7 linked regions of the Sus scrofa genome follow. The protein of the gene in region 5 interacts with the protein of the main gene of each other region in a pairwise test. Links are inferred from orthologs where the notes say so. Each region holds a gene or a part of one and is shown on either strand. Other genes may lie near its edges.

What was found.
Region 1: the proteins of TFIP11 (region 5) and NDN interact in a two-hybrid assay, tested with the Homo sapiens proteins (2 studies listed by BioGRID and IntAct). The link is inferred for Sus scrofa from reciprocal best matches to the Homo sapiens genes TFIP11 and NDN.
Region 2: the proteins of TFIP11 (region 5) and ARMCX1 interact in binary tests that used the Homo sapiens proteins (3 or more experiments, as listed by UniProt). The two-hybrid records come from large-scale screens. The link is inferred for Sus scrofa from reciprocal best matches to the Homo sapiens genes TFIP11 and ARMCX1.
Region 3: the proteins of TFIP11 (region 5) and LATS1 interact in a two-hybrid assay, tested with the Homo sapiens proteins (2 studies listed by BioGRID and IntAct). The two-hybrid records come from large-scale screens. The link is inferred for Sus scrofa from reciprocal best matches to the Homo sapiens genes TFIP11 and LATS1.
Region 4: the proteins of TFIP11 (region 5) and COX5B interact in binary tests that used the Homo sapiens proteins (3 or more experiments, as listed by UniProt). The two-hybrid records come from large-scale screens. The link is inferred for Sus scrofa from reciprocal best matches to the Homo sapiens genes TFIP11 and COX5B.
Region 6: the proteins of TFIP11 (region 5) and GNG4 interact in a two-hybrid assay, tested with the Homo sapiens proteins (2 studies listed by BioGRID and IntAct). The two-hybrid records come from large-scale screens. The link is inferred for Sus scrofa from reciprocal best matches to the Homo sapiens genes TFIP11 and GNG4.
Region 7: the proteins of TFIP11 (region 5) and CCDC68 interact in binary tests that used the Homo sapiens proteins (3 or more experiments, as listed by UniProt). The two-hybrid records come from large-scale screens. The link is inferred for Sus scrofa from reciprocal best matches to the Homo sapiens genes TFIP11 and CCDC68.

The regions. Positions count from the first base shown.
Region 1 is NC_010443.5:142,411,250-142,414,307, reverse strand, and holds NDN (necdin), read right to left. Parts: upstream 1,621-3,058; coding exon 643-1,620; downstream 1-642. UniProt on the Homo sapiens protein: Growth suppressor that facilitates the entry of the cell into cell cycle arrest.
Region 2 is NC_010461.5:83,131,201-83,135,789, reverse strand, and holds the start of ARMCX1 (armadillo repeat-containing X-linked protein 1), read right to left. Parts: upstream 3,016-4,589; 5' UTR 2,727-3,015; coding exon 2,480-2,726; exon of another isoform or gene 2,375-2,479; coding exon of another isoform or gene 2,317-2,374; intron 2,036-2,316; exon of another isoform or gene 1,976-2,035; coding exon 1,872-1,975; exon of another isoform or gene 1,868-1,871; intron 1,116-1,867; exon of another isoform or gene 1,055-1,115; coding exon of another isoform or gene 1,049-1,054; exon of another isoform or gene 1,000-1,048; intron 749-999; coding exon 1-748. UniProt on the Homo sapiens protein: Regulates mitochondrial transport during axon regeneration. Increases the proportion of motile mitochondria by recruiting stationary mitochondria into the motile pool. Enhances mitochondria movement and neurite growth in both adult axons and embryonic neurons.
Region 3 is NC_010443.5:16,273,594-16,278,007, reverse strand, and holds the start of LATS1 (serine/threonine-protein kinase LATS1), read right to left. Parts: upstream 3,054-4,414; 5' UTR 2,819-3,053; intron 1-2,818. UniProt on the Homo sapiens protein: Negative regulator of YAP1 in the Hippo signaling pathway that plays a pivotal role in organ size control and tumor suppression by restricting proliferation and promoting apoptosis.
Region 4 is NC_010445.4:56,629,573-56,633,681, forward strand, and holds COX5B (cytochrome c oxidase subunit 5B, mitochondrial precursor), read right to left. Parts: upstream 2,536-4,109; 5' UTR 2,521-2,535; coding exon 2,418-2,520; intron 1,881-2,417; coding exon 1,807-1,880; intron 1,635-1,806; coding exon 1,535-1,634; intron 918-1,534; coding exon 805-917; 3' UTR 725-804; downstream 1-724. UniProt on the Homo sapiens protein: Component of the cytochrome c oxidase, the last enzyme in the mitochondrial electron transport chain which drives oxidative phosphorylation.
Region 5 is NC_010456.5:44,099,334-44,102,757, forward strand, and holds part of TFIP11 (tuftelin-interacting protein 11), read right to left. Parts: intron 2,847-3,424; coding exon 2,322-2,846; intron 2,201-2,321; coding exon 2,094-2,200; intron 1,529-2,093; coding exon 1,360-1,528; intron 975-1,359; coding exon 731-974; intron 133-730; coding exon 1-132. UniProt on the Homo sapiens protein: Involved in pre-mRNA splicing, specifically in spliceosome disassembly during late-stage splicing events. Intron turnover seems to proceed through reactions in two lariat-intron associated complexes termed Intron Large (IL) and Intron Small (IS).
Region 6 is NC_010456.5:55,651,203-55,655,545, reverse strand, and holds the start of GNG4 (guanine nucleotide-binding protein G(I)/G(S)/G(O) subunit gamma-4), read right to left. Parts: upstream 2,804-4,343; 5' UTR 2,301-2,803; exon of another isoform or gene 2,296-2,300; intron 1-2,295. UniProt on the Homo sapiens protein: Guanine nucleotide-binding proteins (G proteins) are involved as a modulator or transducer in various transmembrane signaling systems.
Region 7 is NC_010443.5:104,471,635-104,475,975, forward strand, and holds the start of CCDC68 (coiled-coil domain-containing protein 68), read right to left. Parts: upstream 2,948-4,341; 5' UTR 2,797-2,947; intron 1-2,796. UniProt on the Homo sapiens protein: Centriolar protein required for centriole subdistal appendage assembly and microtubule anchoring in interphase cells. Together with CCDC120, cooperate with subdistal appendage components ODF2, NIN and CEP170 for hierarchical subdistal appendage assembly.

The sequences.
Region 1 (3,058 bases), on a different chromosome or scaffold from region 5:
AATATCTCATTCCCAACCCATACTACTTTGTTAAAAAGATAAAAGTACACTTTTCCATAAAAATGACTGTATCACAAGAATCTTTAATGTTTAAAGTTTACTCATGGTGGGGTTGTTTTTGTGTTTAGTAAACTGTGCCAAGTGTCCATACTGAGCCCCTTTAAGTCCACATCACCACACTCCAGACAGATGTTTCCTGTGCCCAGCAAGATCACAGAGAGAGAGGTCTTGACTTTTCTCTTGGTTAGACCAGCTTTACTGGTGAGTTCGTCCAAACTCTCTAGTACCTGTCTACCCCCATACACATCATCAGTCCCATGTAAAAGAATAAGATGGAAAATGTCTCAATGTATTTCATAAGTTTAGCACGTCTCTGGTACAAAAAATTCAAGAAAGGTAGCACAAAAGCGAAAGCACCAACTGAGCTTACTTATAAACAAACATGCATGAATCCTACACACTACCTAATTATTACTGAAATGAATACAACATTGCATTAAAAGGTATAAAAGCACTGTACTGAAAACGTAAAAGTTACACGTGAAATACTGCACTGTAAATCCTGAATACTCTAATGTCCCACCCCCACCCCTCCACCACCCTGGTGAGGGTCAGAAACCATCAATCTGCCTCCAGACCTTGCTAGTCCTCGGAGACACTGTTGCGGGGGCAGTGGGCAGTGGGGTTGGCCTCCCGCAGGGCTCTGGCCTCTTCCAGAGCTTCCCTGTAGCGGGAAGGCCAGGCCTGGGGGTCTTTCTTAAAGACCCTGGCCAGGAACTCCATGATTTGCATCTTGGTGATTTCACGGCTGGCACGGGAGCCCCAGAAGAACTCATACTCAGGGGGCTCGACGTGGGGGACGCGCTGGTACTTCAGGTAGTTCTGCTGTACGAACTCCTCAGTGATAAGCTTTCTCACATCTCCAAAGGTGGAGTGCTTCTTCCAGGGCCTCAGCCCCAGGATGCGCAGCACGTTCCACACAGCACTCTCACGGGCACCGCGACCCTTTACGTAGATGAGGCTCAGGATCATCAGCAGGAGGCCTGTCATAGGCATGCGGTTGCTCAGAGCAACCCTGTCCAGCTCCTCAGGCGCCAGAGCTTTGACCAGCGAGAACTCCATGGTGTGCAGGCTGGTCAGCCTCAGGTGCAGCCCGAACACTCGGGCGAGGATGAGGCTGGTGCGCCTCAGGATGCTTCTGCACCACTTCTTGTAACTGCCGATGACATCTTTCACCATGTCTGGGAACCAGATGATCATCCTTTTCTGGTCCTTGACCAGCACGTACCACATGAGCTCATGTGCCTTCTGCACCAGCTGGGCCGGGGCCGGCGGCGCTGGGCTGGGCTGGGCTGTGCTCCGGGCCTGGTGGGCGCGGCCTTCCTCCGCGGCCTGCTGTAGAGCCTTTGGGTCTCCCTCTTCGCTCAGGGCCTGGGGCGGCGGCGAGGCCAGAGGGGCGTCGGGTGGGCCTACAGGAGGGATCTCTGGCCCTGCGAGGGTCGCGGCCTGGGACGCAGGCGGAGAGGGCCCCCCGGCCACCCCAGGGCTGCTGTGCACCTCGGAGTGGGAGGCATCGGCTGCAAAGTTGGGGTCACACACGTCCTTACTTTGTTCGGACATGTTTGCTCCGTCTGGCAAGGGCTCGGCCGCTGCGTCCAGGAGCTCTTCGACTCTGCGCTCCCTCGGTGGACTCCTGGAGAGGAAGTGCGCGTTGCTGCGCGCGGCGCCTTCCGCAGCGGCCGGGCGGGGCGGGGCGGCGGCGGGACAGGCTAGTGCGCCTGCGCATCCGTGGTCTGTGGGGGCCCTGCCGGCTGGCGGTAGGGGCGGGGCGCCTGGAGGGCTGGGGTGTATTGAGGTCCCAAAGGGGTAGGGGGCCTAGTGGAATACTGGCCTCATGACCCACAGTCGTCCAGTTTGGGCTAAGGAGGCGGTCCTGGGGCCGGGGGGAGGAGCGACATGGGTGAGCACTGGACAAGGAGCAAGTTTAAGAGGAAAGATGGAAACTTAAGCTTCCAAGATGCTGAAGCTGAATTTCTTAGGAAATGTTCAATTGGGTATATGTAGAATCAAGTTAGATGTGAGTTTCAGAGAAAGGCCCAGGTTGGCACATAAGCTTGGGTTTTGGATAACAAGTGTGAGAATTTAAACTGACAGAACAATCAGGGTCACCCAAGAAAATGTGTCAACTCTGAAAAAGATGCGGGATATCAGAATCATGAAAGATAGCAATAAAAATTGATTGATTCACTGCGAGTTCCCATTGTGATACAGCGGAAAGGAATCTGACTAGTATCCATGAGGATGCAGGTTCAATCCTGCCCTTGCTCAGTAGGTTAAGGATCTGATGTTGACATGAACTATGGTGTAGGTTGCAGACAGGGCTTGGATCCAGTGTTGCTGTGGCTGTAGTGTCAGCTGGCAGCCGTAGCTCCAATTCTACCCGTAGCCTGCTATGGGGAAAAAAAAAAAAAAAAAAAAAAAAAAAAAAAGATTTCCTGACTGCCAAGTCCAGGGGGTTATGAAGGAAAAATGCAGAATGTAGTCAATACATGTACAACTGAAACTTTCTTGAAGACAATGTACTAATGATACTGTTAGGTGCTTGAATGGTCATTGATTTTGGTTTTTCTACTTCCCTTGGGTAATTTTGATGTAATTTTAATTTTTTGATTAGGATCTCATCACACAAAGATTGCTGTATTTATTAGCACAGACTAGTATGATGTCTTTCTACTTGTTTGTCCAGGAAGGACCCTAATTCCCCTTATGACTGATGTAGCCTTCACGGGTGTGTTCGTGTAGACCCCACCTCTGCGCTTTCACACAAACTGACTGGTTCCAGAAATTGACAGCCACACCCAAATCCCTCCTAAGACTTTTTTATTTGTCTAACTAACCAATTAGTTAATTAACACAAGTTCCCTAGATTGTATATGGCAGACAGTCTCAGGTGACCAACAATATGAGATGCAATGTACTGGTGGTTGTTTTTCACTTTTAGAACATGGATATGCAGTGGGCAAAAACAAAGCTGACACTCCCAGAGAAGGATGGGTGT
Region 2 (4,589 bases), on a different chromosome or scaffold from region 5:
GGACCTTTTGAAGGTCAGGAGCACCCAGAATATCATCAATTTTATAGGGAAAGTTGAACTTGCCCCTTCGAACAGGCCATGACGTAGCTGGAGTCCTTGTGCTCTTACCTCGGGTCCTTCCTTTAGACTTGCCACTGGCCCTGCCCCCAACCCTAGCTCCATTCCTCGCTGGGTGGCAGCCTCCACCCCTCACTCCTGGACAGGGTAAACCAGGTGCAAGGGTCCTGGTCCCAGAGATGGTACCCAACCTGGCCCCTTTGCCCACCTTTGCACTTGCCTGTTCCTTCAAGGTGCTGAAAAGGGCCTTGGCCTTGGCCTCTAGGCCACCTCCACTCTGGGCCTTCGAGTGGGCCTCTGCCTTTATATCGGATCCACTCTTGAGTTCCACGGCCACCTCAGCTTTGGCCTTTGAGTCACCCTGAAGTCTAGCTCCAGCCCCCGCCCCAGAATTAGCCTTAGATCCTTTCCCAGTTTCTGCCATATCACTAGGTTCCTCCTCCTCATCATCATCGTCGTCCTCCCAGATTTTCTCACTCTCATCTCTTCCCCAGGTCAGTTTATAGACGCAGTAGCAGGCACCAGCCCCAATCACCACACCAGCAGCTACGCAGCCAGCTTCCCGAGTGCGGCCCATGCTAGGGTGAGTGTCTGAAGGGCTTTCTCTGGCCCAAAGAAGTGCTCCCACGTAGGGGGTGGAGTCCTCAGCTACAGCTGGCAGTCTCTGCTGCAGCTGCAGATACTGCAGGACCTAGGAATGAAAGAAATATTTGAGGCTTCAGTCTCCTCCTTTTGTGCCTTTCTATGCAGACTGAACCTCCAGATGGACAAACAGACCAAACAAATGGGGGACATGGCAGGGTCTCAGGGCTAGATCACTGATTCCTGTCTTCAACAGGGAAGGCAATTTTGAAAACTCTCCCCACCTCCAGATTCTCCAACCTCATATTCAACCACCACACCTTGATATGTTAAAGTTAAGATATCTAATCAGTTCCCTACCTCCCCTCCCCCTCCAGATGTTCCTGAGGACAGTAGTACCCCCACATACACCCATACAGGTCCAGGCAATGTCTTCCTTCTACATCTTGCTTGGACGAGCACTGCGTCCTGCAAACCTGCATACAAAGGGGTGGGGAGGGTAGTGCTGAATGCTCAGGGGACAGAAAATGGACTACACCAAGGATGGGACACGTGTCCCTCTCCAGAACCACTAGCCTTAGCCCTGCCTAGCCCAATTCCTCCCACCTTTGGTTCTGGTCCTCTTTATAGAGCCCTGGCTCTGTAGTTTATTATGACCTGCCTCCCACCCCGTTTCTTCCATTTCCCCCAATCTTCCACCCCACCCCTACCCCCACAAATCACTTCCTTCAAAGGTGACACCACAACTCCTTCTCTGTAATGAAATGGATGGTAGTGGAGCAAGGGTGTCTGTCTAGTAGCCAGACAGGCAGAAAATGTCCAAAGGTCTTGTCCTCCTCCCTTGCTTCCGACACCGCCACCATCTCAGAGGTACCAGGACACTCCTACCCTCATCCATTATATCCACTGCTCTGGAGAAATTTCCTTCCTCCCTTATCTCTGTTTCTTCCACCAAATCTAAGGACTGACAACTCTGGGACCTAGTTAGTGCTTGGAGTAATTTGGAGGAAGGTTTTCTCCACATCTACCCCAGAAATCTTGTGACACCGTTGTCTTCTCAGCAACTTTTTTCCCCTGCAGAGCACTTTCTTTTGCAAGCTCCGCAATTGGTTCAGAGAGGAGGAAAGGAAGAGGCTGTGGGGGAGGTCCATGGGCCCACTGGAGTTTGCAGTCTCCACCATTCTCCACCCCAGGGATCCCTAAATAGTGCCACCACCCTCACTCTGACCTACTTGTTTCTGGACAATTTTCCTCTTCTTCCCGCTCCTAGGGTTGGGTTGGCTGTCAGGCGCAAGATCCCACAGACACAGACAGGCGACACAGCAGAGACGGATGGCTAGGCGGACAGAACAGCACTTCAGACAGTCCCAATACCAGCTTTTCGGAATTTAAGGTCCTGGTTGTCAAACGGATTTCAACTTTTGGTCTCCCACCCTACCCCCACTTCCCCGGACTCCGCTGACCGCAGCCCTTTTCCTGCAAGGGCATCCACCCACCCCTCCCCCCCCCCCGCCCCCAGCCCCAGCCCCAGCCCCAGCCCCAGCGGGTCGGCCATTTTCCCAGCAAAAACCACACCCCTTTCCAACAACTGGAAAGAGGAGAGGCGGTGCGAGTGAGTGAGGAAAACCCAAGGAGCGAAAGAAAACCTAAAGATCCCTTTGATTCCCCCTCCCCTACCCGCTCCTGGCGCCAAACGACAACCATTTTTCCTGTACGCGCTGTCATGTCCTATTTCCTACATAAAAGAGCAGGGAGGTGGCTGGAGAGTCAGTAATGCGCCCAAGTTAAGGCGAGGACCTCAGGCATCCCCGCCCTTCTGGGGGCCGCGGGGCAATCCCACCTTTACGCGGACCTGGGGCAGATTCTTTATTCCTTTGCTCCGAGTGGTACAGCGCCCTACTGAAAGACACGGGGAATGACAAGACAGACGCACAGCCCCACGATTCTGGCTTGCTAGATGGACCAACACACAGGACAAGAATCTTAACATCGGCCCTTCCCGATTCCAGGCCCTGGATGCCAAAGGTTTCAAGTTTCCCCTCCTCCTGGCTGGGGTCTCCCCTGGATTCTGGCCCCCAAATCTTCATTTTTGTTCTTGGAAGGGCCCGGGATAGTGCAAGGGTGTGGAGAAAGCGGGCCTTGTCCCTCTGCAGTCTCCGCCCTCCGCTCCCGCACCGCAGGGATCCCCCAGGCAAGCGCCCATCCACGAACAGACCTGCGGAGATCAGAGCAGTTCCCTCCTCCTTCTCTTCTCCTGGCCGCAGGCCCGCGCGCCCTCGAGGTAATAGGGAGATGGCAACCGGACCAAACGGAGACCGGGATTAGTAGGACGTCTGCATGCGTCGGCTCCAGCTCACGTGAGGGCCACGTCACTCGTGAGCTCAGGACCCCAAATCACCACTCCCACCAGCAGTGCGGCAGGAGACCCCCCCCGCCCCTTTTTCCTTCCTCTCCACAGCAGAACCTGCCACTCATTTTCCTCTAACCATCCCAGAGACCAGAAGTATTTCTCTTGTGGTTGGAATTTGTCTTTCCGTATCTGCACCTATGTCATTAGTCTTGTCTTCCTCTTTTGAGGAATAAAATTTCTCTCCTCTATTCCCTGCCCATCCACCCCTGCCCCCAACCCAGCACGAAGGTCCAGCATTTCCCCTGCACCCCTATACGAAATGGGATTCAAGATCTCAGAAAAGGAGATGGGTAGTGGGAGTGTCTTACTTTCTTAAACTTTTCTGTTCATTAATAAAAAATTAGGAGTTCCCGTTGTGGCTCAGCGAGTTACAAACCCAACTAGTATCTATGAGAATGTGGGTTCCATCCCTGGCATTGCTCAGTAGGTTAAGCATCCTGCGTTGCTGTGCCTGTGGCATAGGCCAACAGCTGCAGCTCCTATTGGAGCCATAGCCTGGGAATGTCCATATGCCACAGGTGCGGCCCTTTTAGAAAAAATAAATAAAAGAATGTATTGAGAAAATAAAATGATGCTATTTTCATTGAATGGAGAATAATTTAAGTGGGAGGGGAAGACCCAAGAGGCCTTGTTGATTTTATTACATTTATTTATAACACAAGGAAAATGTTTCCACTGGTTACAGACAAAAAGCAGCTTTCAAAGCATAGTGACCTATTTTAAAATTGAAAACTTATTTTTCACATGATCTATGAATTAGTCCACAAAAAGATGATCTAGTAGTCTAATCTTGGCCATTTTAGATAAATGAACTATCACTCTTCTACTTTTGAATCAACTTACAATTTGAGAAAACAAAAGCAACACAATCCCATCTTGTTTGATTAAACAATGTCATGTATTCAGTGTCTCAAAGTATTGGCCGACTGCCGTGTGAACCTCTTGTGATTTGATGGCTGTTCTGAACACCTGCCCTGGATTTTAACTTTCAGTCTATTAAGGCTGAAGCAGCTGAGGGTGTAAAGGATGCAGAAATGGTCAGATTCTCCCTGCCTTGTCTAGAGTGGAGGGAGCAATGTGCTGCCCTCCTATCTCTTTTCAATTCCAGAGCCCCTCATCCCCTGCACTCTGGCACGTAACTCTGTTGCTCATGCCAAAAATATACATGGCCAGGTGACCAAGGTGGTAAATGCCACTTTTACTCAGGTAACAAACCTGAGTAAAAAATGCCTTTGGCTTCTTCCCTCCATCCCTCCCTCAAATTCCCACAAATGTAACTTAGGGATACAGAAAAGAGATTGCTGCTTCTGCCTACCCCTGCAGTTGTGTGTTTCCATGAAGCCTCGAAAAGCACTAGGGCTGCCTGCCCTGCCCTATTCAGGATACCTGAGTTAACCTTGCTCCTTAACCTGTCTGCTGCTACCACCTGGCATGAGATGTGCAGCCTGCTGGCCTCTCACATCTGGTCACCTTACTTCAGGGCACCAGAGAACTCAGTCTAGAGGTAGGGTCACTGCCTGGAGCCCACACCCACCTTGGT
Region 3 (4,414 bases), on a different chromosome or scaffold from region 5:
TCTTCAAATATGGACAATAATGGTCCTATTTAATAGGGTAATTTAAAGCATTAAATAAGTTTAGAATACATGCCTAACTAAATAAATGTTAGTTATTATCTTATTATATCTTTTTCCACTATCTTACCCAGATTCTCCCTGTATAACATATATTCTAACCAAGCCAAATTACTTGCTTTCTGCTAATGTGCCTTGTGCTTCTCTACCTTCATGTTCTTACTCTTCTTAGGAGACCCTCTGCCATATTCCTTCTTGTAGAAATTATACCCAGCATTTATGGTGCCATTCAAATGCTTCCTTCATGAAGCTTTCATTGAAGTGCCAGCTGCTATCCTCCTCTGAACTTCAAATGCACTTTACACAGGCAAATAAAACTTGTTTTTGCCCTATTCTTGTACTTGTCTTATTTTTCCCACTAAGCACAGACTGACAAAGCAGAGGTATCTTGGATATTGGATGTGTGTGTGTGTGTGTGTGTGTGTATTTTATTTTAAATTATAATTTGAATTGATCCAGAGTAAATGGATCCAGAGAGGTAAAGTGGCCCCATTAAAATCATACAGCCAGCTGGAGGTCATGCTAGGAATGGACTCCACATATCCTGAAACAGCCCAAGGCTCTTTTTTCCATGTCATTTTTTTTGGTCTTTTTGCCATTTCTTGGGCTGCTTCTGCAGCATATGGAGGTTCCCAAGCTAGGGGTCCAATCGGAGCTGTAGCCACTGACCTACACCAGAGCCACAGCAACTCATGATCAGAGCCGCGTCTGCAATCTACACCACAGCTCATGGCAACACGGATCCTTAACCCACTGAACAAGGCCAGGGATCAAACCCGAAACCTCATGGTTCCTAGTCGGATTCATTAACCACTGAGCCACAACAGGAACTCCCCAAGGCTCTTTTTTATCATACCTACATCTTAGTTTTCCTAAGGGATCATGACTCACATTCTTTGAAGGGATAACTTGGTTAGACTGAACAGACAAAACCTCCATTTCTTAGAAAGTTCGGACCTTCATCAGATGTACAAATGTCAATAAGTACAAACAAATACTGCTGATATCTTACCCAACTTAGGAAAAGAACAGAGCCCATTACATAAGAAGATTTCAAATTGATACCTTAGGTTGAACTAGGCTTGTAAAAAAGATGGTATCTTAAAGCTTTGACTAAATCAGTTATGAGAAAAGCAACAGTACTGTCTTAGCAGTATAGTCTTAGCTGTCCATATGGTAATATGTAAGAATCTCTGCATTCTGATGACATTTTCTCCAATTCACTTTCTAAGAGTTAACCTATCAAAAGTGAGAACAATCATTATATTTTATCATCATTTGAAAAATGACTGCCATTTCTACTTGATAAAAATGTTGTTCAATGACTAAATAACTTTCATAGTCTACAAAAATCCACCACTAATCTAAATATCACATCTAGAGCAAAAACTAAATAACCAGAGCTGGAACTGTTCTAAGGCTACACTATGTAGAGTAACAAGGAGGAGCATTAAAAACAAAAACAAAAACTCAACCTAAAGAAAGAAATCCACATGTGCCATATCATGCCAAATATATCTAGCAGAAATATTTTTATTTGCTTTTGAAGGCTGTCACCATATTTATTAAATACTCAGGCACAGGAAAAAATGCGCCTTTTCTAGCCTGTATCATGATCTAGTTTCTTGCAGTAACAGCCGATCAGAGGAACACAATGCTACTTCTTTCACTGTTAAATCAAATTCCTCCACTGCCTTAGGGAATCAACTAGCTCATTTTACCCGTGTGTCAACTAATTAAAGGAAAAAAATAAACGTAGTTAAATCACGAACATAGATACCTTAGCAGAGCACATTCATTACAATTATAATATCCGACTTTTTCTTCTATATGGTGGAAATCTGACAAAAAATTCTTAGTCCTCAATAACAATCCATAAGACCTGACACCCTTCATGGTTCAAGTCCATTTCCAAAATTGGAGTGATACAATACTGTGTGCGAGATTATAGTTCTCACTAGATTTATGAATTAACTTCTAGATAACGATGTAATATTTTGAGTCGTATTAACATATGGGTCAACAGACATTAATTTTTGTTCCCTTAGAAAAGAACTTTAAACTGAAGAAGAAAATAGCTTCCAACTGGAAAGAATGGGGTTAAATCACTTCACCTGAGAGTCATTCTTTGTGGCACAAAGTCTTTTTGAAGTTACAATAAACAATGTCCCCTGAACTTCCTTTCCTTCATTTTCTGAATTTACAGACATACTCCCTCCATCTCTCCTATCCCTTCCAACTATGAACAGCAACCTATTTACAGTGGACTGTAAATAGAAATTCTCAGAATTTCTTCAAGGTATATCCAGGAGCAGGTCCTTCTGGAATGAAAGAACTGTGGCTCCTTCACTGCACATTTCCTTCACAATCACCTTTCGCTATCCGTTCCTTCCTGAACACCGCTGACCGGTGAGGGTTGGAGACAAGGGTGGAGGGAGGTGTGAGCGAAAACAGTCCGCGCAAGGCCTCCAGTGAGACAGGATCTTCCCGGGCTAACCTGAACCTCCAAGGCCGCAAAGCCTGGGGCTCTTCCTCCAGCCCCGGGCGCGGCCAACCCTCGCTTCCCCAGGGCAGGGCTCCGCTCAGGTCCATGCAACCAGCCAAATCGGGCCCGTACCGGGCCGGCCCGGCCCGCCCGTCCGCAGCGGCCCCTGGACTCCCGCCAGCGGGGATGGGCGTGGGCCCCGACGGCCACCGCCCCGCCAACGCGGGCTCCGGAGGAGAGAGTGAGCCCCACCCGCTACGCCAGCCCCGGACCTACCTGCAGAGAGCGGGGCTCCTGGACAGCGGCCACGGGCCCGAGGGCGGGCGTCGAGGCGGCCGGAGCCCGTCCCAGGGACCCCAAGTGTCCCCGGTGGGGCAGGGCGGGCAGAGACGCCGGGGGGCTGCCGCGGGCCAGCGCGGCCCGTCGCGGAGGTCGCGGGGACCTGGCTCTCCCCTCAGCACCAGGCCGCCGCCGCCGCCGCCATTTTGCCTTCCACTCGGTGTCGCCGCCGCCGCACTCCGCTGCAGGTTTCCCGGATGTGGGCATTTCCCGGCGTCGCTTGCGCGGGGGCCGAGGACTGGGGGCTTCTGCCCGCCCGGCCGTGGGGAGCGGGCGCGCCGCCGCCGGCCTCCCGCCCTCCGCGGCCGCCCGTCCCCCTGCGTGTGCCCGCGCGTCGCCCCGCGTCGCCCCCGCTTTGCGCTGCGCAGGTGACTCGCCACGGCTGATGGCGTTCGGCTCTCCGCCTCCCAAGCCCACTCATTTAGTTCAGTGTCTTTCTCAATTGAGCGCTTTCTGTGGAAGGACGAATGTAGAATAAAAGGTGCGCCTCTGCAAGAGTTTAATTTCCAAAAGGTAACAGCCGTGAGTTGCTCTCTGAAACCTCGCGGTGGACCTCGGGATTCGGAATTTCTAGAGGCTTTGAAATAAACTGATGTTTGCTTAGCACTCTTTCCCCGAGTACATCCGTGAGTTTGTTTTCTGAATCAGTCAGATTAATATATTCGCGAACACGAACAGACTAGGGGTTCAGAGATTTCTGTCAACTGAATAATCTGTCAACTGAATCGGTATAAAAGGAAGTCATTATTACCATAACTGGAATAATTTTGACTGCAGCGAAAGAGGCTTTATCTTGTTAGATGGAATTGGAAGTTTGGGATGGGATCGTTGGGTTTATGATGTTTGAAGATCCCCTCCACTCTCTGCCCATGGCCTTTGCCAATTTTGCCTCTAGAAAATATATGCAGTTAGTACTTTCAAATATCTCCTTTCATCACATTTATGCTGGAGACTAGCTATTATTCGTTTAAACCAAAGCCTCTTTTTTTTCTGATGTTGAGTTAGTGGCTGGCTACTATTTCCAGAAGTTCAAATATGAAAACTTATGATGAAAGAAAAGATTACATTCCAAGAGCATTTGGTTGAAAGTCTCTTCCACAGGTAGAGTTTGTAAAAGGTATGATCTAAAGGGAGTCATTTAAGGGAGTTCCTTTTGTGGCTCAGCGGTAAGGAACCTGACTAGGATCCAAGAGGATGAGGGTTCAATCTGTGGCCTCGCTTAAGGATTGGGAGTTGCCATGAGCTGTGGTGTAGGTCGCAGACTTGTTGGATCCCTAGTTGCTGTGGCTGTGCTGTAGACCAATTGCTGCAGCTTGGATTCCACCCCTAGCCTGGGAACTTCCATATGCTGTGGGTGTAGCCCTAAAAAAGACAAAGGAAACCAAAAACAACAACCAAACAACAAAAACAAAGGGAGTCACTTAATAGCCCTGGGTCTTTCTTCAGCTGGAGAACTAAGTGACCAGCAGGGTATCTTTCAGCCTCAAAACTATATACATTTTATGAATCTAGTATGTCCACAGGCCTGCTTGC
Region 4 (4,109 bases), on a different chromosome or scaffold from region 5:
CACTCTTTTAAAGCTGATCTTAGCCATATTTCACCTCAGTATGTATTGCTAAAGCATTAAAAAACAAAAAAATTCCGTAACACATCTAAAATTTAGTAAGCCCCTAAATCTTGGATTTTTTACAGTTGGTTTTTTTCAAATCAAGATTCAAACAGTCCACACATTGCTTTTGATTGGTATCTTCCTCATGTCCATTTCACTTGCTAAGTACTCCCCTTTTTTTTCTCCCTATAGTTTATTTGAAGAAACTGGTTGCTGGTTTCTAGAACTGTCCCATATTCTAGATTTTGCTGATGGCATCCTCATGAACTATGCTTTAAACCTGGGTCCCTTAAGACTTCAAAGCCAAAACTCTCCTCACAAGGCCACTCTGTCTTTAGAACAGCATAAGGACCTATCTGCCAGGCTCTTTATATACTCCTACAACCTTACAAGATACTTATCCTTTCTTTTTTTCTTTCTTTTTTTTAATGTGATCCATCCCAGAGAACATGTCCCCAGTGATAAAGCTAAATGATGGAGTGGAGCCAGTTCTACAAGTCCAGCCAGCCTGCTTCCACAGCCGGTTTGCCCCTTGCCAGGTGGTTCCTATCACTGCATTAGGGATTGGTAATCTCAGTGTACACAGTGGATGGCAAGCTAATACGAATAGACAACTACCTCTGATATAAGAATTACCCATACCCTTCTAGAAATACAGGAAAGAAAGAAGACCAGCCAGCCATGGGAGGAGGAGCCAGTGTAATGGCTAGTCTTTATTGGAAGAAACTTGCCAGCGCATCTTGAGTGTGTTAGTGCAGGGGCTCAGTGGGCCAGCTGGTGCGACACCAGCTTATAATGGGTTCCACAGCTGGGGCATCGCTGGGTCTCGCCTTTGTGCACCCAGAACCAGATGACAGTACTGTTGTCTTCTTCACCTGAAAGAACATAGGTGGTTGAAAGCTATCCAGCCTAGAAGAGGGGACTTTCAACATTAATCTCTTCTCTTCAGACACCTCTGAGACACAAAATTATGGCTGACACTGCCTAACAGGGTGTCTAGCAAAGGAGAAATACAATAAACACTTTCTAGATGAATACTCCTTCCTCATACTGCCTTTCCAATAAGGCAGTATTTTTTTCTTTTTTGCTATTTTTTTTTTTTTTATTAGGGCTGCACCTAATAAAAACAGCATATAGAAGTTCCCAGGCCAGGGGTCAAATCAGAGCTGCAGCTGCTGGCCTATGCCACAGCCCCAACACCAGATCCTTAACCCACTGAGCGAGGCCAGGGATCAAACCCACATCCTCATGGATATTAGTGTCTTGTTCATAACCCACTAAGCCGCAACAAGAACTCTCAATGAACCAATATTATTTATGTTCCAGGCCTCTCTCCCGTAAGGATCACCTACTCAAGCAGAGGGGTATGAGAGGGCCAAGACCCTTATAACAACTTATTTATACACACACAAAGCACAAGATATGAAAGAGCTTACAGACCTGTATAGTGGGCTATATTAAATGGGTAAGAAAATAGTGTTGAGGTACTTACAGATGCAGCCCACTATCCGCTTGTTGGTGATGGAGGGGACTAAATTAGGGTCTTCCTTGGTACCTGAGGCTGCCTTTGGGGCAAGTATATTGTATGGGTCCTGAAAAGACAAAATAAGAATCCATTATGCCAAATGACTCCTACCTTCTAGGGGTTAGCGGTATTGTTCCCACATGCCAGGTTTCCAGGATCAGTGAGGCCCAGAGAGGAGACTACTCTGATCCCATCCAAAACCATAAACTCCTAAGAAGACATATAAAGTTTCTCCTCACCAGTCCCTTGCGGGCGGCCATCATGACCTCCCTCTCCAGCCCAGTCGCCTGCTCCTCATCAGTAGGAACACCACCTGAAGAAAATATGGTAATTACCATGTCGTCTGAAATGATCACGATGGAAAATGCACATACGCAAACTGCTGCATATAGTTTTAGTGGGCTTATTGTCCCCTAAAGACCGGAGTCATGATACCCGAAAGTGGCAACATGGGGTGATCTTCACTTCCTTCGGCCACGGAGGCCGTTTTTCGACACATTTTTTTCCTAAAAGCAGGTTAATCAGAGTCCTAGTGGAATACATCCAACTTGAGATACGCGCGGGTCTAAGGAGGGGCTTAGCCCCACCCCCCATGTCCTGGCTGCAATCCCTGCCCATCAAGGTCATCTAGCATTTCAGTTAAGGATTCTTTGGCAGCGGGGTCAGTCTGGTGGTCGGCAGCAACGGCGGCCCAGGGTAACAGGGAGACGCCTGTGGAGCCTGAGGCCTTCGGGGCCAAGGGGCAGCCACTGCGGCCGCGAGGTACTGAAGGCTGTCCCCCGCCCCGCTGCCCCCACCACCCCGAGAGAGCAATGGCACGGGTCCCTGGCGCGCCGGGGGGGCCTAGTACCTCCAGATGCCATAGACCGCACAACGGCGACTCCATTGGGACCTCGGGCCCTCAAGGTCTGCGCGGCTAGCGCTCCAGCTCCACGGAGTAACCTTGAAGCCATCACGCCCGCTACAAATACCAGCACTTCCGGTAACAGGCTCCTGAGGTGCAGGGACTTCCGGGGGAGGGCTGCTTTCTGCGCAGAGTCCGCCTTCCGCTTCCTCCGGCCCCTAGACCGCCCCCCTCACGTGACTCCTCGGGGCGGCGGGGGGGGCGTTGGGGCAAGGCCTGCGCTTGCGCACCTGTGCCTCACTGCCCCGCCTTGCAGCCCCGAGGGCATGGAGGCGGTCACGGTTTCAATTGCAGGCTTCTGGGGGCTTTGCCCTTTAGTAACGCTCGGATTTGGTGCAACTCGTTTTACTTCCGTGGGACTCAGTGCCCCGCAGGTCAATGGAAAACCACGCTGGAGCCGATAGTTGTGCCGAGTAAACGTGGAGCCTGCTGACGGAAAACATTAAGCCTGCGTCGCTCAAGATACTTGCTGGATCCCAAAAGGTCCAAATTTAGGAGTAGGCTAGTTGTGGTGCTGGTTCACCTGGCCGTTTGTGAGCCACTGCGAACTTGTAACCCAGCCTAGGAGAACTTGAGCAGGAGCTCCCCGCAGTCCTAACGTCAGCTTCTTGTTACGGTGGTTTTGAGGTGATGAGGTTCAGGCCTGAGGCGAGGCTGGGGTGGCAGGGGAAGGGACGGTCAAATTGTGGGCCCTTCCTGGGAGCCAGGCCCTTGATGATATGGGGTAAGGTAAAGGGGTGGTTGCATTGGGAGGCTGTTAATTAAGAAGTTAAGGGAGGGAAGCAGGAAGCGGAGTTGGTGACGGGAAATGGAGCTCCAGCTCCAGAACGTACTGGGGCGAGTTCTCTTGTTTAAAACTGAAAACTTTTTGGCCTGTTTTTTGGTTTTGGCCCGGGTCTACAGCATGTGGAAGTTCCCCGGCCAGGGATGGAACCCATGCCAAAGGAGCGACCCAGGCTGCTGCAGTAGTACTGCTCGGTCCTTAACCTGCTGCACCACAAGAGAACTCCTAAAAGCTGAAAATGTCTTCTGTAGCCGCCCCCATTGCCCCGCAAGCTGAGGTGTGCAAGTTTCTGTAAACGCTGCCTTGTATGGATGGGCTCCTAGGAACTAGTTCCTGCTGTCGGTGTAGCCCTGTTACAGACTGGCTGCATGCAGCATCTTTTTCCCTATTGGGTAGAAAATTCTTTCACAACAGAAATTTTGCTCTATTCATCTTTGGATTCTCTGCCTTGCAGAGGTCTGACATATGGGATCAAGTAAGTTTTAGTAAGTTTAATTCTTGGTGAGAATATACAGAATCAGTATTGAGGGCCTCTCCTGGCCCATTGAGGTAAATTTGAGGTAAATTGGGAAGGGTTGAAATCCCAGGTATTCCCACTCGTACTGTGCAGGTTATATTTTCCAAAGGATCTGGTGGAGCATTCCTTCACATGAGCACAGCTGGTCTTTGTGGCTGCCCCTCCATCAAGAAGAAAATCATCTGTAAAGCCAAAGATGGTTTTGTTTTTTTTCCCTGGTCTTGTGGAAGTTCCCAGGCCAGGGATCTGGTGGCCTATGCTACAGCTGTAGCAATGCCAGGTCCTTAACCTGCTGTGTCACAAGGCAACTTCTGGCCAAAGATGACTTGATCCTCTT
Region 5 (3,424 bases):
TGGGGAAGAAGTGCTTTTCAAGAAGCCCCACCAGGCTGGAGACAGAGATCATCCCTTCCCAGTCGATGACCCAATAAAAGGCATCCATGTGCTGCTGGTGGGGGTTGATGACCAGCTCCCCAAGGCACATCCCTGGAAGAGAAACCCAGTCTCTAAGGCAAAGCCTCAGAAGCACAAGGTCACCAGTGTCAGCCTTTGATCTGCTTTCAAAGGTCAATTTTAAGCTCTTGACACAACACTTCTTAAAACTTGCTTTCTTCTCTAATCCAGAAATAGCTCTATGTTTACTTTTTTTTTTTGGCTGCACCCACAGCACATGAAAGTTCCCAGGCCAGGGATCGAACCTGCAACACAGCTGTGACCAGAGCCACAGTAGTGACAACACTGGACCTGTAACCTGCTGAGCCACAAGGGAACTCCCAGAAATAGCTCCGTATTTGGAATCCAATACAACAAAAGTTTCAGATCACCTGTGGCTATACTGTCACGAAAGCCCATTCTGGACTAATCACTGACTTTGTCACTGCAAGAGGGACCCTGGTTAGTAATATTCAGCCCTAGTGCCCAAAATGGCACCTCTTTCATGGTGAGAAATATCATGTGCTAATAATAATAAGCCTTTGCACAGAATTCAAAGGCCATGTTTTAAGAACCATAATCATTACTGCTGGCCTCAGAAACCAGGACAGCAAAGCTGCTGTACTTGGGTGTGTTTCCCCCTTTTCCTTACCCAGCTTGGGCACTATGTTCTTGACCATGAATGCTTCCCAGGAGCCCGGGGTGAAGACGTCTTTCCAGGGCTGGAGGATGAGCTTGGCAGAGGAGTCGCTGGGGTGCCACTTCTGCAGGGCACTGGCCAGCTTGCTGCGGATGGGGGAATACAGCGGCTCCAGGCGCGCCTGCATGAGGGGCAGCCACGGGTGGATCCAGGAGTGGATGGGAACCGTGTCCGTCAGTGGGTTCCAGTTTTCCACCTGCAGGAGGAGTGGGGAGCAAGCAGCAGTTATGGTGGCCTGTGGGCAGTCACACGAAGCCCCGTGCTCTGCTGGCTGAGGTCCACAGTCCTTTGTGCATGCAAGGGGGCCCCAGACTCCATGACATTTCCCCTAAACAGGGACAGTGACTCACACATATGCCCATACATGTATTATCTCAGAAATGGCACAATTCTAAGTTTATTAAGGAAACCTATTAAGGGGGGCTTTGGGGCAAAGAACTAGAGTTAGCATTACAGAGCAATAACTATGTTGACAAGTTCTGTTAATTCCAGGCATCTTAACAGCAGTGAGAGAATGAAGAGAAATCCTAAACAAGACCCCATGCTTCCTGACGACAGCTCTTTCCCACGACTGGCCCTACCTCCTTCTGCAGCTTGGGGAAGACGAGCTGGTCCAGTATGTTATCCAAGATCCACACGGGAATAATGTGCACCCAGCTATCCAGAAAGTCCACCATTGGGTCACAGTTCCTTGGTTGCCACTGAGTGACGATATTTCGAACGAAAGGCATCCAGACTTCCCATATCAGCCTGTGCAAGAAAGGATGGTTAAATGCACAGATTGGTTGCCACGTATGCAATGAACATTGCCACCAACCCTGAAAATGAGAATTGAAAATGGCAAGAGCACGGCAACCCAGCACAGGAAACCGAGAGGCCAGCCCACATATCAGCCAGACGTGAGCTTGCATCTTCCGTGCTGAGCACCCACTTGGCCTTGGGGCCTGTCTCCTTGGTGCCTGCCTCCCTGGCAGGATTGCTGCTGGGTCGCAGGGTCCCCTCCAAGTGTCATCATGTGCTTCCCCACCTAGAGCTCTCCCTGCACAGCCGATGCCACCCACCCTTTGGATTATAGCTTGAACGTCACCTCCTGAGAGACCTCTGCCCCCAACACCCCCCACCCATCCCAGGTGGGCATCCTTGTCATTCTTCCCAGCCTGCAGCCCACTTATCTGTCCACTTGTTTACTTAGCACCTGCCTTCCCCACCTCCTGGAGACGTGAGAGGCACATCCCCAATAGCCACGCAACAAGCCTCAGGTGAACTAGCGAATGAATGTCAATTCCCAGAGCGGTGCCAGCCCCACCAGGAGTACCTGTGAAAGGCGTCTGCCGAGAGGTCCTGCCCACCGTGGGACAAGAGCTGGTCATTCTCCAGGAGGCTTTTCCACTTGGAGATGATCTCCGTGCCGTAAGTACAGTCCTGAGGAGAAAACGGCAGCTGAGGTAGCAGGCTGGGGCTGGGCCCTCACCCTCCAGACCTCCTCTCAAAGCCCAGAACTGCCCCAGACAAGAGGCAGCACATGAGCCTCCCGCCCAGTCACCTTGAGGGGGTCCCACTCCTTGAAGTAGTCCTTCATCAGCGGGTAGACGATGGCCACAGCCAGATCCACACGGTCGGACATCCTGTACTCCTCGTAGTACTTGTCCTGCAGGGTCTCAAAGATGCGGGCACACTCGTCCAGGGTGAGGGGGTTGCTGCAGCCGGGCTGCAGGCGCCGCTCGCACTCCTCCACCATCTCCAGGACCTTGCTTAGGTTGGAGATGACCCGCTCTTCGTGCTCCAGCACCTCTGCCATCTTCTCTAGCTCGTGGGACAGGTTGACCACCATATCACGCTCGTACTGCAGCTGCCGGTCGTTCTGGATGATCTCCTGCTCCGTGAGCTCAATGAGCAGTTGCAGGTTGTGCTCCAGCTCTGGCAGCGCAAAGCCGGGGGCCTTGGCCTCCTTGCCGGGCTGGGGCAGCTGTGACTGCAGTGGGAGCCCGTCATCTGGGACATTGTGCTTGTGGCTGATCTGGCTGTAGCTATAGTAGACCTTCTGCTCCCGGCCCGTCATGTCTATGACCTTGGAGAAGGCGGCAGAGGGGATGCAGGTTATTAACACTTAGCACTGCTGCCCTACTAGACACACACCTAAGCCCAAGGAAGGCGAGGTGCTGGTGGGAAAGCATAGAAACTAGGCCATTCAGCAGACCTGGAGAAGGGCAGTGTTCATCAAAGTGAGGCCTGGGCTGCATGACGTCAGAAGGATGGAACAATCAGATGCAACGGGCGGTTCTGGACTAGGTCCCTCAGGACAAACCAGATGGAAGAGACTTTGTAGGACAACTGCTAAAATTTGAGTATGGACAATTAAGTTGATGAAAATATGTTGCCATGGAAAGCACAAGCTATACGGACCAAAACAGGCAATAAGACACCATATACCATTAAAATGTCATTTGGGTAAAAAACATGCATATTTAGACAAAAAGATCTGGAAGGATGTATATCATTGGTCATTTACGGGAAGGAAAATATTTTTAATAGTTTCGCCTCTGTATTTCCTAATTTTCTAAAATGTATTGCATGTTGCTCTGTAATAGCTTTTTTTTTTTTTAATTTTAAAATAACATGAAACATACAAAACCCACAAAGGCACCC
Region 6 (4,343 bases), about 12 Mb from region 5:
AAACTTCTTGATGCCAGAGTACATGTAGAGTGAATAAAGATACCAAATGAAAACAAGAAAAAATCTGCAAGATTAAACAACAGCACAGGCTCAGAAAGGTGTTCTGAGAACAAATCAGGTAATTTGATGTCTTAAAGACATTGATTCAAAATTCCATGAAGAGAGCCATCTACTAACCTGCATGGCATTACTGGGCATTTTCCCTTCTTCAAATATAACAAAAATGACACAAGGTAAGAAAAATGTGACAGTGACATGTGGCAATAAACAAATGAGAATGACTTGTCCAGTGGTCTTTAGCCTCCTCAGCCACTTGGGCTGCCTTCCTCCGTAAGCAGTAGTTGTTCGGTGAGCGAGTGTGTGTGTGTGTGTGTGTGTGTGTGTGTGTGTGTGTGTGACATTATACACAGTCACTCCTAAGCCCATCCTCCTGACACAGCTGCCAGACACTTGCTTCCCCGTGACCAGAGGACAGCATCATCCAAGTTCCACCTGATATTCCACCATTTCCAAGAATGTACTGAGATTTGGGTGGGCTTCAGGGACTGCCATTTTGGCTTTAAAAACTGTAAAATGCTTATGGGAAAAGCTTTTTCCTTGTTTTCCTACCGTCGATATGCATGAGAAACTCAAAGGCAACTGCCTGGACAATTACGGTGCTCCTGGGAATGACCCTCTGGCAGTGCTTTTTTTCCCAGCCGGCCAAACATCTTGAGGCTTCCTCTGAGCAATTTTATTTTAAGGAGGCTGAGGACTGGAGCCATGTGTGGGTGGAGGGGCAAACATGAATCCCGTAGTCCTAAATAGTCATTTCAGCCTAATAACCCCATAGTGAGGAGCTACCTGGCAAAGCACCAAAATAAATTCTGTATTTACATTAACGCCTACTATGTACTGAGTACTACAACCAGGTCTTACCATGACTGATAACTGAGCCAACCCCACATTTCAAAAATAATTCACAGTTTACCTGTACCATCCTGTTTCTCAGGACTGAAGAAGGCTTTCCAAGGTAGCCTTTGGCAGGGAACAGGGCCAGATCAGATGGCAGGTGCCTCCCTTCCCCCCGCACCATGCAAAGATCAGGAAAAGGAGTTCCCCAAAGAATCAAGAAGCTGGTCAAAAGCCTGGGTCCCCTCCCTGCCTCTTTGAGGCATTTGCCACTGACTGTGCCTGTCACACCCTGAGAAGGAAGCACCACAGTAAGGACTCAGCAGATGACAAGACTGACACGCTTTAAGGGGGAACACCAGCCCGGCCCAGCAGGCCTTCTGCTCTGACTGAAAAAAGGCCCTGTAGTAGCCCTTTGCAGTCCTGGGAGGCAGCAGAAAAAGAAAACTGGAGCTGGGAAGAGGGTAGGAGAACCGTGTCCATGATCCCTTTTATCACTTGATCAAAGTTTAATATTTTTGGATTTCCTAATAACTGGCCCAAGAGACACAAAAATAAGCAAGTTCTCTTTATTTTTATATTAAGAAGTTTTTTCCAGTCATACCTCTATCCACCTTCCAGCCTCTAACCCTCTTCTTATTATTTCCAAGGTAATTAAAAAAAATCAAACCAAAGCTCCCGCAATGCCATTGGGCGCCCGCGCTGCGATCGCAGCTCATTTCAGCACCAGACTCGGGGACAGACGCCATAAAAGAAGGGAAACAAACCCGTGCCCCGTCTTCCACTGTGGCCCCCGGGACCGCTCCCGAGGCAGGTGTCCCGGGTGCTGGAGAATTAAGAGGGCTTCTTCAGGCCAAAAACATTTCCCCAAATAAAATGACCAACTAGCCACTCCATTCGTTCCATTACGGTCCTCTTTAGCGGGGGACGTCCCTGCCGTGAGACTAGCGAACAGCCATGACCTATCTAGGGAAAGGGGGTCCCCAGGAATCTCCCTCGCCTCAAGCCGGAGAGATCGGGCGGCTCTGACCCCTAGGAGGCCCCTTAAACGTTCCGAGTTGCCGGTCCAAACCTGCGCTCGGGTTTCCCTACGGCTCGGCGGAGTGTCCCGGGTTCGAGGAGCTCCTGCACCGGCCAGCGCTGGGCCGCCGACGCCCACCTGTGCGGACGCCCAGAAGGCCGGGCTAGCTGCGGGCCGCCAGCATAACCACAGGTATTTGCGAGCTTCCACTGACAGCTGTAGGACGACCCAGGCACCAGAACCGTCTCTCCAGTTCCAGAGACTTTCCCGCCCGAGTTTCCCTTTCGTCTCTAGCTGGGCTCGAGCTCGCTGGAGCAAGGGCTGTGTCATAGCCCACCCGACACGCCCCTGTCGGCCAGCCCTCCGGCGGGGAGCCCACTTACCCTACCCGGGAGCGCGGACCGAGGGCGCCGCTCACGCGCTGGCTTTGTCTCCGGCGTGGTGCACGCGAGGGGCTGCCAGACCGATCGGCCTCGCTCCGCTTCCGGGCGCGGGGCTGAGGGGGCTCCGGCTCCGCGCCTCGACACTGACGGGCTCGCGGAGGAAACGCGCGCCCCGCACCGGCCCTCCCCGCCCCCGGGGTCTCCGCGCCGCGTCACCAGCCCCGCCCCGTCCCGCGCCTCGCGGGCCAGGCGGGGAAAGACCACGTGAGGCCGAGCGGGGGCGCCGGTCCCAAGCAGGTGCCCCGCGGGAGAGTGCAGTCACCCAGACGCCAAGTACTTTGTCTGCTCAGCCCCCTGTGCGTGCTCCAGGCGCGCGTCCATGTGCAGCGGGGGCAGAACGCGTGTCCCCCGACCCCCGACCCCTCGCGTCCACGTCGGTCGCGCCCCCTCCGTAGCAGGGTCTCGCAGGGCGCCCGGGAAGGGCCGGGAAATCCCGCCTGCCGCCGCCGACGTCACGGATGCGTCATCGGGGCTCCCGCACCCGGGCTCTTTTCTCTGCCCGTGCCCCTCGCCTCCCAGCCCGGACCCCGCGGCCAGCTCTGCGCGCTCCCAGCTTGGCCTCGCGCCCCCTGCCCGGCTCAGCTCTCCGCCTGGAGCGCGCGTCGCCCAGGGGTCGGGGGAGGGGAGATGAGAAGTGGAAGCGGGGTCTTGGCGCCCTGGTCCTCGCTGGGTGCTGGGACCTGAGCCTTTGGCATCCTCACCCTTGCCTGAGGATTAGATCCAGGGACGAGCCAGGCTAGGCGCGGCTTTTACATCCATCCGTCCAAAGAACACACAATATACCCTCCCCCACCCCCAAGGGGGCGATGAAAGGTGAGATGCTTACTGCCCATAAAAATTCACAGGGCATCGTCTCTTTTTACCGGGCAAAGGTTAACCCTGACGTTGCTGAGTTACAGGAAAAGAAGGGTGGCCACGCCAGCCCTAGGCTTTGAGAGTGATGCTCTCCTCCCGGCCGCGACCGGGATGGCGGGAACACAGTCTCTGTGTTAGTGGAGAGCTGTTTCCGCTGGGAAATCCTTGGCGACACCTCATTCTTTTTGAATTGTAAGCGTTTGGCGATAGAAATATTTAAAACCTCTCCATTATTATAGTCCTTTTCCTTTAGGGAAAACAGCATAAGTGCCTTTCATTTTCCATCTCCTGGTAAAATAATGCAAAGTCTTTGGAATAGGGAAGCTACATAACACTTCCAGCCGTGTTAGCAAGATTGGCAGGAAAAGGAGGCCGATATTAATTCCTTTATAAGAACAGCAGAAAAATGTGGTTAACAATTAGCAAATATTTCTTGAAAATCTCCATTTGCCTCCTTCCTCCACCATCAGCAGCAGTTCCTTGCGGTAAATAATACAATGATCTTCTTTCTTACATCTCTGATCCTCATTGACTTGACATTTGCCCCAGACAAATATGCACCTTCAAAGAAAGCAAATGCAGAGGTCAGAACAGGCCCCCTGGGGCCAGCAAGCATCTCACACAGCTTTTTTTTCCCCCCAGCTCAGAAGTGCCCATTTAAGGCACAGAGTTAAAATGTGATAAAATGATGCAGCCAGTAAATACCCACTGCACTGACCTTTTTTATTTTTTATTTTTCAGGTCCACTCCTGTGGCACATGGAAATTCCCAGGCTGGGTGTCGAATTGGAGCTGCAGCTGTTGGCCTACACATCAGCCATGGGAACTTGAGATCCAGGAGATCTGAGCCAGTCTGCGACCTATACCACAGCTCAGGGCAACGGGATCCTTAACCCACTGAGTTGGGCCAAGGATGGAATCTGCATCCTCATGGATACTAGTTGGGTTTGTTACTGCTAAGCCACAACGGGAACTCCTGCACTGACCTTTTTTAAAAAGTGAGAAATATATATATACACATACTGCATTTAAAATTCAACAAATCCAAAACCGGGCTCGTTATTTCTACCCCCAAATCTATTTCTCCTCTATTTCCTGACTCAACAGGCACCACTCCCCACTTGGTTGTCTAAG
Region 7 (4,341 bases), on a different chromosome or scaffold from region 5:
AATGTGATGGCAAAAGGGCCCATCAATGAGTAAGCAAAATGTGGTATAGCCATTCAGCAGAATGAACATCAGTTAGCAATAAAAAGGGACCCCTAGTGATACCTGCCACAATGTGAATGCACGTCAAAAACATTATTCTAGGTGAAAGAAGCTAGATGCTAAACACTCTTCTGTATGATTGCATTGTATAAAGTGTACAGGAAAGGCAAATCTAAAGAGTCAGAAAGTAGACTGGTGGTTGCCTGGGGCTGGGTCTGAGGATGGGGAGTGACTGCAAACAGCCCCTTAAGATGGGTGGTTAAGGGGGGATGAAAATGTTCTAGAATTGTACTGTGATGATGGTTGCCCAATTCCATAAATGTTACTAAAAATCATTGAATTGGACACCTGGATTTTCTGGTATGTATATTATACTTCCAATAAACCTGCTTTTGAGAAAACAGCAAAAGAATAAAAAAAGGGAAAAATGCCTTGCATAAAGTCATTCTTCTGCTCTGAGGTAAAATATGACTGTAGTCATATTTTTTAACTTACAGGAAAAAAAAAAACTTGGATACAGTTTTCTCAATTTGAAATTTTTCACTCATTGATTTTTTTTCCCCCTAAATTACTGGCATCTACTACTCCAAGTTTAGTTTTTATTTAATTCCCATGAAATTGATATTAAACTATTTCAAGTTTAATATCAAAATACTGCATAGCATTAACAGACTACAATATTCCTAAATTCTTCCCCAGCCTAAGCAAAAGAGGAAACTGACCTAAGACGCAAATTCCTTTTAAAATCTATTTAAGTCAGTGTAAAAGAGTCAGTGATTTGAAACTAATCAGTCACTGTTAAAAATAGATGGATGATTAGGTGTGGTCCCTAATCTATGGCCTCAGGGTTGCCCTGAAGGATTTCAAACTGGTGTAAATTCCACAGGGACAAGAATGTGTCTTATTTGCACAAAGCTGTATCCCTCTGTGTCCCCAAGACAGAACAGGGTGCCCTGCACAGCAGGCACTCAACAAGTATTGGTTCAATGAGTATATGAATAGGCCCCTAAATTCTCTCTCTCTCTCTCTCTCTCTCACACACACACACACACACACACACACACACACACACACACGCGGGCACGTGCTTGCTTTTGTTTTCCAGACTCAGTGGATGGCTGTTTCCATGCTCAGTAAAATGTAAATACACTTAAACAGGCTATTACATTCAGAGTAACATTTTGCCATTATATTTTTTTTTCTATCAACAAATGGCCATCTAATTTTGATGTAAATATCTCACTTCAAAGACTCAAAGCTACTACTTCAAAAGACTTTTACAGTCCCTTCCAAATTCTTCAGTTGTTTCCTTTTTCAGTCATAATTCCAAACAAATAAATGTACACCTCATTTTTTAGTTTTGGCCAAATCTAGCTTATGTTTTTCAGCTTTGTCAGGGCTTTAGATTATAGCTCAAGCCCACTGTCCAGCACATTATAAATCAAAAAGCTAACAAATACATGCATCCCTGTTATTAATTCATGAAATCACAACAATGAATTATACAACTGAAATAGTATCTGTATATATTTCAGGAGTCTCTTTTTAGTTAGTGCAGCTTTAGTTACCATATTCAGCAAATCACAAAGGTAAAAACCTTTAAGTTTTCCTGGGTCGCAGGAAGTGTCAGCCATTTTCATTCTTTCTGTAAGTAATTGAGAAGGCCCTGCCTTAGGCACAAATTCCTCTGTGTCAGGGACCACCACTCTCAAATCAGTGGCATAGAGGGAGGGCTAGGGGGAGGGGCAGTGCAGCCCAGGAAACAGCAGCACCATTTGTGTCCGCTAGGATATCTGAGACTAAAGCTCAGATCGTATTTCTGAAAAGCCAGACTTGTGCAGAACTGAATATTTAATAGCACAGGTAAAATCAAAAGGACAGATTATGTTTTCCCTATTGCAAATGCAGAATAATTCCCTTTTGGACACTTCATCTAGACTGTATATAAAAGGAAGTAACAAAGGTTTTGATTCCTGAAATGAAACAACTATAGTATAAATAGTTATGTATGCTTGAGTTATGCTTCATTTATGTATGGGGCTAACTGCATCTTCTGTGCATATATATATGATCATATATAATTTATATATGTAAATAATAATATTTGATTATGTACGTAATTTTTTTCCTTTCAAAGAAGGTTGAAAATGTACAGCCATGTCATCATCCAATCTAAAATCTACCCTTGCACCGTCCTGTGCTATTCTTTCCGTAAGTTGACACTGCTCCTCTGCACAACTGCCTGGGGCTGAGTAACTTTCAGTTCTAAAATCCCATGACCATAGATAGCACTGTCAACCAATAGGCTGTTCTCCTTTAGCTACACCTGCAGCTACAGATGCCAGCACGGATGAATGAAGGTGTAAGACAACCATCTTCACTCACAAGCATTCGTTTGTGCTCTTAAAAATTTCAGGCGCGGTGATCTGTCAAAGTCGCCGCGCGGGGGTTCACAGGTGACAGCATGTTTTCTCCACCGCCTCTGAATCGCGAGAACCCCTGGCCGAGGGACGGCATAACAGCAATCGAAATAAATAATCAGGTGTGCACAGGGCTAAGGGTGGGGCATTCTCTCTCGAGGAAGGTAAGCTCCGTTCCTGGAAGAGCACAAACTTTTCGCCCAAGGAATTCAAGTCCAGAAGAGAGGTTTACAGGGAGAATATCCTCCTAACCGAGGATCTGTTTACAGGAAAATGTCTTTGGTGTGAGGGCGGCGCTGGGGGAACCGGCTCCAAGGGCACCTGGACATTCACTCACCTGGGGGTGACCTGTGCGCGGATCGCAGGGGCTCGTCTACCTTGGAGGGCGCTCAGCCAGAGCAGGATTCTGCCGCTGCTCCTCCCCTCGGCTCTGGACCTGGGCTGAGTCTTCTCCGTGGGGCTGGCTGGCTCCACCCCTCAGGGAGCGCCCGGGGCAGAGTCCGGCGCCCTGGTGGCTCCGGGGAGGAGCCTAGGCTCCTGCCGCCCCCGGAAGCACACGCCGGGCCCCAGGCGCTCCGGGGTGCCTTCCCTGCATCCCTCAACACTGCGTACCTCTCAGTAACTGAGTCATGTAAAGAGGGTAGTCGCTGCTTTATTAAAATGTTCTCTTTGCACAAACAATAAACTTTTGTTTTTGTTGCTTATAAATAAGCCTTTTTTATTTCGGAGTAATTTTAGATTTACAAAAAAAGTTGCAGAGAGAGTATAGAATTCTCCAAAACCCCCCTGCCGACGTCCCCTAATATTCATGTATTACATCGCCATAGTAGGCTGGTCAAAACTAAGAAGGTAACACTGATCCCTTTCTATTAAATAAACTCGACTTTTTTTTAGATTTCACTGGTTTTCCCCCTAATACCATTCTGTTCCAGGATCTCATTCAGGTTTCCACACTGCACTTAGTGTTAGGTCTTTTTAGTCTCTTCTTGTCTATGACAGTTTCTTAGTCTTTTCTTGTTTTCCTTAACTCAGTCAGTTTTGAAAACTTCGGCTAAGCTATTTTGTGGATATCTATCATTTATTTATTTTTTTATTTTTTAATTTCCTGGAGTATAGTTGACTTACAGTGTTGTGTTAGTTTCAGGTGTACAGCAAAGTGAATCAGTTATACCTATACCTGTATCCATCCTTTTTCAGATTCCTTTCCCAAATAGGCCACCACAGGACATTGAGTAGATTCCCCTGTGCTCTACAGTAGATCCTTGTTACTTACCTATTTCATATTTAGTAGCGTGTGTACACCAAACCAACCTCATTTGGTCTTGTCTGATGTTTTCCCATGATAAGGCTGTGGTTTGGGGTTTGGGGGAGGAAGACCACATCCTACTAGGTGCTGCATGACAGCAATCCTTGTTACTTGGTTAAAGTAGTGTCTCCCTGGTTTTTCCAAGGCAGAGCTACTATTTTTCTCTTTCCATCTTTGGATGACTAAGTTTAGCCCATATTTCAAGAGAGGGTGGGGAGAAGGAAAGTCCATCTCCTGGGGGGAGGCGTATCTACATTATTTGGAATTATTCTGTAGAGATGTGTTCCTTCTCTCCCATATCCCTATCTATTCAATCAGTATGGATTTATATATATATTTCTTGTATATTTTGAGCTGTAATTCAACAGTACATTACTTAATTTGCTGCTCAAATTTTTCCACATTTGACGATGGGGAAATCTTTCAGATTGGCTCCTGTGCCCTTTTGAAAATTCTTACAGAGCAGGTGAGAAAAGGAAATTCATTAATTATTTGCTCTGCCCCTCTCACATTTAACAGATTTGGAAAACTTCAACCAAAGTCTTCCAAATCTGAAGATTATTCGGAGTCTTCCTG